Sus scrofa: one gene and its partner. The protein of the gene in region 1 purifies or fractionates together with the protein of each later gene. This does not show direct contact. Links are inferred from orthologs where the notes say so. Each region holds a gene or a part of one and is shown on either strand. Other genes may lie near its edges.

Region 1 (3,511 bases):
TTTATACTGCCATCTTCCATCTTTTTTTTTTTTTTTTGTCTCTTTGCCTTTTCTAGGACTGCTCCCACGGCACATGGAGGGTCCAAGGCTAAGGGTCCAATCGGAGCTGTAGCTGCCCAGCCTACGCCAGAGCCACAGCAACACAGGATCCGAGCCACGTCCGTGACCTACACCACAGCTCACGGCAACGCTGGATCCTTAACCCACTGAGCAAGGCCAGGGATCGAACCCACAACCTCATGGTTCCTAGTCGGATTCTTAACCACTGCACCACAACGGGAACTCCATATGCTGCCATCTTCTAATGTCTCTTTCCCAAAGCAAACACTCTAGTTTAGGAATCAGACAAACCAAGCCAGCCCTCACCCGGATCAGGTCCTCCTTCTCCGTTTCATGGAGCTGGTAGAGGAACTTGGACAGCTCCGGGTCGGCTTCCATCTTGCCCATGATCCTTTCCTTTTCAGCCTCACTCTGTGCACTGGCCAGCAAGGTACAGTATAAGACTGCCAACAGCAAAAGGAAGAAAGGGAAGATGAGAAGGAGGGAATGAGATAAAAATCAACCTTCAACCTTGGGGCAGAAAGAAAAATAAATGAAACAAGTGGCAAGGCTGTGAAAACAACACAACCACCATCACGCATGCATGTATACACCACAGAAGGGTCCTTCATGTACTCACTCATCATCCTGTGCTGCCTCAAGACCTTAATAAAATCAAAAGTGTTGAAGCCAAGGAGCAGAACCAACTGGTTCTCACATTCCCGATCGTCACTGGCCGTCTGCACAGAGAAGGTAACACCATGATTAAGAACACAGCCATTTGCTTTCCACACTGTTCCATCTGCTAAGATACACTGAACACAGAAACATTATCCCGACCATACCTTCAAAATTTCCAACACTTCATCTGCCTTCTTCTGCGACACAATGGCATCATCATAGAAGCGACTGAGCTGCCGCTGTAGCCAAAAGGCATCGATATCCCGAGGGTGCAAATCCTTCTTCTTGGAACTCATCAGTTCCCCTGAGGCCACGAGCTACAAAGTGACCAGGCACTGAGCTCACCAGCTCACAGTGCCTCCCTCTGCCCCAAGTGCTGTCTCATCATCATACAACTGAGTTCTGAGGGCCACCCATAGCCATGGGGGGGTGGAGGGGGGAGATTCTGCTATACTGAGTTCACGAGTACCCCAAACTAAGATTTCATTAACACATGCCTTTGGGAAGGAGGGCAACAACTGAAAGTTCACAGAAATCAAGACACTAGGCATTTATTACAGCTCACCCTATAAAAAGGTAGCTCAGTAGCTACTATGTTAACAGGACCTATGTCTGGGAAAGAAATGCTGCACCCAGAAATAACCTGCCCTGCAGCAGCTGGCAAGAGCAAGCTGTACTCACATTCGCCGAGAGGGTGCAACGCACCACCGCCTCGTCCCCTTCCATGTCATCGTCAGACGCCTCTTCTCGAACCTCTCCATACACATCTTCATCGCCTTCCTGCAGAAAGGGCCCCAACCCCAACTCATGATCTGGAGCTGATCCTGGCATCACCATAGAACCTCTCCCTTGAGTCACTTAAAATAAGCTCCACGGTTAGAGCAAAGGCTCTGCAGTGGAACCAACAGCCTATGGGAATCAGAGTCAGCCTCATTCCAGAGTACATGTAGCAGAAAGACCTAGAAGAAGCACACTTGGGGGAGTTCCCTTCATGGCTCAGTGGTTAACAAACCCAACTAGGATCCATGGGGATGCAGGTTTGATCCCTGGCCTCACTCAGTGGGTTAAGGATTCGGCCCTGCAGTTGGCTGTGGTGTAGGCCAAGAGCTGCAGCTCTGATTCAACCCCTAGCCTGGGAACCTCCCATTTGCCGAGGGTGCAACCGTAAAAAGACAAAACAAAGAAAGAAAGAGAGGGAGGGAGGGAGGAAGGAAGGAAGGAAGGAAAGAAGGAAAGAAAAAAAGCACACTTGGGATAGCACACAGTAATCCTGAAATGTAGAGAACACACTTGGCTGGATCACTACTGCCCTTACTCACAAGCCGGCTCACATTGTACTGCATACTGAGCACGGCGCCACATTAAAAGTAGGTCCTTAATAAAGAGCATGCTCTCATAGCACACATCTAAATATTTCAAAGTTATAAATCAAGCTATCAACTGTTGAATGTCCTACCCTCCTAAAACAAGAAAATAATTAGTATTTGTTCAATAAATGAATGCTACAAGCAAAGTTTTCTTTTAGTCTGTTGCTACTTAAAATCATAAACCCCTAATAAACCAACTCTATTGCAGGGAAGGGTTCAACAGTCACCTATTTTTCTTTTTGTCTTTTTAGGGCTGCACCCACAGCTTAAGGAGGCTCCCAGGTTAGGAGTCAAATAGGAGCTATAGCCGCCGGCCTATACCACAGCCACAGCAACACTAGATCCGAGCCAAGTCTGCAACCTACACCACAGCTCACGGCAACACCAGCTCCTTTACCCACTGAGTGAGGCCAAGGATCAAACCTGCGTCCTCATAGATGAAAGACTCATTTCCGCTGAGCCATGACAGAAACTCCAGCAGTCACCTATATTCAATCACCTCACTTGACAGATGGAAACAGACACAAAAAGACCTGCCTGGGAGTTCCCGTCGTGGCGCAGTGGTTAACGAATCCGACTAGGAACCATGAGGTTGCGGGTTCGGTCCCTGCCCTTGCTCAGTGGGTTAATGATCCGGCATTGCTGTGAGCTGTGGTGTAGGTTGCAGACGCGGCTCGGATCCTGCGTTGCTGTGGCTCTGGCATAGGCTGGCAGCTATAGTTCCGATTATACCCCTAGCCTGGGAACCTCCATATACTGAGGGAGCAGCCCAAGAAATGGCAAAAAGACCTGCCTGACATTGCTGCAGCCGTGGTGTACGTCGAAGCTGCAGCTCAGATTTGATCCCTGGCCCAGGAACTTCCAAATGTCGCAGATGTGGGGGAAAAAAAGGCCTGCCCAATACAAGACCAAAATTCAGCCCCCCTGGCTCCCAGTTTGGTGCTCTTTCCTCTGACTCTCCTGTGCAACCCATTCTTCCTGTCCCAGTTTATGATATTCTGAAGCTGACATTTTTATCTTTCAGGAGCCAAACATCCATTGAGAACTCTAGGCAATTTTGCACATTTTTTCGGAGTTCCCGTCGTGGCTCAGTAATAATGAACCTGACTAGGATTCACGAAGATGCTGGTTCAATCCCTGGCCTTGATCAGTGGGTGGGGGATCCGGCATTGCTGTGAGCTGTGGTGTAGGTCTCAGACGCAGTTTGGATCCCAAGTTGCTGTGGCTGCAGTATAGGCCAGCAGGCTGTAGTTCTGATTTCGACCCCTAGCCTGGGAACTTCATATGCTGTTGGTTCAGCCCTAAAAAGCAAAAAACAAACAAACAAACAAACAAAAAAAACTTGACATGTTTTTTCAAGTGCTCCGCTTGCTCCTATTTGTTACATCTAAAAATTCTTTGTTTTTTTTTTATAATGATTTGTA
Region 2 (4,082 bases), on another chromosome or scaffold:
GCGAGGTCAGGGATCGAACCTGCATCCTCATGGATACTAGGCAGGCTCATTTCCATTGAGCCGCAAAGGGAACTCCTCAATAAAATTTTTTAAAAAACGAACTTATTTTATGTCCAAATGGTTCAGATGAAATATCAGTTCCCTAAACTTTAGCTTACAATTCCCATGTGATCCCTGCCATATATCTTTAAGAAGGTAGAGTAGGTAAAGAAAAGAAAAATTAACAAGTAGCACTTTCAAAAGGTGAGACAACCCATTTTACCCCAAAATTGCCTAAGGGGAGTTCCTATTGTGTCTCAGTGGGTTAAGAACCCAACATTGTCTCTGTGAGGATGTGGGTTTGAGCGCTGGCTTTGTTCAGTGGGTTAAGGATCTGGCATTGCTGCAAGCTGTGACAAAGGTCGCAGATGTGGCTTGGATCCAGTGTTGCTGTGGCTGTAGCACAGGCCTGCAGCTGCAGCTCTGATTTGACTTCGGGCCTGGGAACTTCCATATGCTGCAGGTGTAGCTGTAAAAAGGAAAAAAAAAAAAAGTAGACTTGTGCGGCTCAGGGGCAGTGAGGCAGTAACTTGGGGGAAGAACGATTCAAGATAAGTTCAGGGAGGTAGGCAGGAGTCAGATCCTGGAAGTGTGTTCTGGGCCAGAATAAGGGAACTTGGATTTTAATCTTACTGCAGTGGGAAACTTAGAAAGTTGTCAAACAGGAGGTGGTATGAACTTATTTTTCATTTTGATTACTTTGAATACTTTCACCACTACTTTGGTGCCTTACGAGAAAATATACAGTAGAGAGGCATGCGAAGACACAGAACAACTGAGAATGTTATTATAGTAGCACAGACAGGAGATGACAGCAGCTTGTTCTAGAAAAGTGGCAATGGAAATGAAAAGAAGGAGACTGCTTCAGGGCATATTTTGAAGGCAGAGCTGACAGGACTTACTGATGAAGCGAGGACACAAAAAGAGAGCTCCTAAATATGTGGTTTGACTAACATAAGTGGTTTGCGGTGCCATTAGTGACCAGAGCAGACTGGGGGGAAAAAAAAGATTTAGGAAGAAGTCAAAAGTTTCATTTTGACCATGTTGACTGTAAGATGTCAGTAAGAAAACCAAGTGGAGATTCCAGGAAAGCAGGTGAAAATGCAGTTCTGGAACTCAGGAGGCAGTGTGGAGACAATGATTTGAGTTATCAATACATAGATGGCGTTTAAAACCATTGGACGCTAAATAACATGACCTAAGTAAGCATTCTAGTTATAGAAGAGGACCCAGAATCAAGCTCTGGAACACTACATTTAGAGGCCAGGCACAGGAGGAGCCAGAGGAAAAAAACTGTTAAGAAACAACAACTAATAGGAGTTTCCGTCGTGGCGCAGTGGTTAACGAATCCGACTAGGAACCATGAGGTTGCGGGTTTGATTCCTGGCCTTGCCCAGTGGGTTAAGGATCCAGCGCTGCCGTGAGCTGTGGTGTAGGTCACAGATGTGGCTCGGATCCCGTGTTGCTGTGGCTGTGGTGTAGGTGGGCAGCTACAGCTCCGATTAGATCCCTAGCCTGGGAACCTCCATATGCTGCAGGAGCAGCCCTAGAAAAGGCAAAAAGACAAAAAAAAATAAGAATTAAAATTTAAAAAAACAGAAACAACAACTAATGAGAAAAAGAAAAATTAGTAAAGTATGGCGTCACAGAAGCCAAAAGTGTGTTTCAGTGAGGGAGTGGTTATCTGCATCAAGTGGAGAAAGACTAAGAGATGAAGGAGTGACCCTTACATTTAGAAAAGCAGAGATGGTTGGTGACCTTTGACAAGAGCTGTTTCGGTGGCATGGAGGGAGTAGAAGCCTGAGTGGAGTGAGTTTAGAAGAGTTAGAAGTGAGAATAAGAAGACAAGAAACGCAGGCAAGTTTTATTACAGGTACCGCTAACCTCCAGATCTTTGAGTTCCTCTACTCTTGCAGGGCAGGGGCAGAGTCTTTTTTTTCCCAGTCAATGAAGTGTGTACTTACCAAACATCCACTATATGCCAGGCACCGTGCTAGGCACTGTGTGAGTTACGAAAGGAAATCAGGAAGATCCTGTCCACGAGAAGCTTACAGAACAACAGAAGGTATGAGCCACATACCAAGATGAAGGCTCAGATGAATTATTACAGGAGTTCAAAGAAGTTTCCTTTCATTTGTAAGTGGGAAATTTGGAAAGATCTCTAGAGGAAGTGGCTCGAGCATTTAAATATAGGTAGAATTTGAAGATGTGTAATTGAAGGTGCCGGAAAGAAGCCCTTCCCGGCAAAAGAAATAACACAGGAGGCGCAGAGGCGGGAAAGCATGACTGGTTCTGGGAGAAAAGCCAGAGTTCCAATTTGGTTGGAGCAAGGGCTACTCGAAACATGAAGGAATAAGGTCGGGCTGGGGGTACCACAGGGTTGTGCCCACCGGCAAAGGTCCGGGCGTAACCACGTCCAGGAAGCTGCCCTGTGCCCCCAGGAACCAACACTCCCCCTGGGGCCCGCGCCCCTCCGCTCCCCCTCGGCAGAGCTTTCCAACCTCATGCCCCTTCCCTGAGGCGTTCTTCCCCGCCTCGCCCCGGAGGCAGGGGCCACTGCCGTGCCCTCACCCTCGCCCTCTGTGCAAGCTCGTGGGAATCGCTTCCACCGCCCGAGACTTACCACTCTTCAGTTCGAACCGCCCAACGCGGCCTCAACGTCGCCGAACAGCCGCCATCTTTCCCGTTTCCTGGTCGCCAGGCTGCTCGCCCGGCCGCGCGGCAAGCTGGGAAGACGAGTTCCTGGTGCTGGGGTGCGCCGGCTGACAACGAGGCCAGAGAACTACCAATCCCAGAGTGCACGGCGCGAGAGCCGGCCCTGGACCACCGGGGCCTCTGGGCAATGTGGTTCTCGAAACACTTGAGTCTGCGGGAGGAAGGGAGGAAGAGTTTTTCCTGGGTCGGCTCTCCTCAGAAAATTGTTCTCTCCGTGGGCGCAGTCCTATTAGAATAGGCTGGCTTTCCTAGCAGCTGCCTTTAAGGATTATCATGGCTTGTGGCTTACAACGGAGGAACTTAAGGCCTTCCTTAGATATCAATAGCACGTAATTGTAGTAGCAACTATAGTAACAACATCAAATACTTTACTGTTTGTGGGAAAGCATTTTTACCAAAAATCTGTGAGATAGGTGACTACCCCCATTTTACAGGTAGACAAACCAAAAGTTAAGTTACAGGAGCAGGCTACTATTTCCAGGGAGGGAGGGACAGTTCATTGTGGAAGACTGTCCCAGGTGTAGGAGGACATTTTAGTGATCCTAGCCCCGTGGTAACGCCCTAGTTATTATGACAACTCAAAGTGAGCCCACACAGGGGTTACAAAGACCGCCTGGAAGGATGGTAGCTCTGGGACTGTGGCACCTGGTTTTCTCAACATTGCAGATAGGACCTGCCTTCCTCACTTTCTTGCTCTTTGGAATCTGGCCAGTTTTTGATCCTTAACCCACTGAGAGAGGCCAGGGATCCAACCCACATCCTCACAGACACTTTGGTTTTTAACCTGCCGCGCCACAATGGGAACTCCCGTAATTTTTCTTCTTTCTTCTTCCTCCTTCCCTATCTTCAGCCCTCCAATGAGGTGTTTTGAGGTTTTTTTGTTTTGTTTTTACCCCAAATTGTACTTTCACTTTGTTTCTCTGTAATCTTATGCTTCATAGTTCAGCCCCTTCTCCCCGCCAACAAAAACAAAAATCTTTCCAACTTCTAGAAAAGTTTAGATAGACACCAGGAAGTAACTAATGCTGCCTCCTTCCTTCCTTTTTCCCCTCATTAGCTTTTTGGTTTCAATCCCACATGGCTCTAGGTCTTTTTTTGTGTATTTTTGTTATTGTTCTTTGTCTGTTTGTTTTGATTTTGGCCGCACTCAGGGCATGTGGAAGTTCCCAGGCCAGGGGTGGAACTAGCACCACAGCTGCAACCTGAGTCATAGCTGCAGTAACGCAGGATCTTCAATCTTCTCTGCCACAGGGGAACTTCTCACATCTAGTTTTTCTCTCCGAATATGTGTTCAGTTCTACTGAAGCAAAGCTTTGGGGTAGGCCCAA

Evidence for each region. Proteins that work in one complex are often made in the same cells at the same time.
Region 2: the proteins of SNRNP200 (region 1) and DDX23 purify together in Homo sapiens (affinity purification with mass spectrometry; 3 studies listed by BioGRID and IntAct, counting the BioPlex papers as one, with this or other methods). This does not show direct contact. The link is inferred for Sus scrofa from reciprocal best matches to the Homo sapiens genes SNRNP200 and DDX23.

What each region holds. Positions count from the first base shown.
Region 1 is NC_010445.4:46,935,565-46,939,075, reverse strand, and holds part of SNRNP200 (U5 small nuclear ribonucleoprotein 200 kDa helicase), read right to left. Parts: intron 1,501-3,511; coding exon 1,402-1,500; intron 1,038-1,401; coding exon 885-1,037; intron 780-884; coding exon 680-779; intron 504-679; coding exon 367-503; intron 1-366. UniProt on the Homo sapiens protein: Catalyzes the ATP-dependent unwinding of U4/U6 RNA duplices, an essential step in the assembly of a catalytically active spliceosome. Plays a role in pre-mRNA splicing as a core component of precatalytic, catalytic and postcatalytic spliceosomal complexes.
Region 2 is NC_010447.5:14,906,942-14,911,023, forward strand, and holds the start of DDX23 (probable ATP-dependent RNA helicase DDX23), read right to left. Parts: upstream 2,801-4,082; 5' UTR 2,663-2,800; intron 1-2,662. UniProt on the Homo sapiens protein: Involved in pre-mRNA splicing and its phosphorylated form (by SRPK2) is required for spliceosomal B complex formation.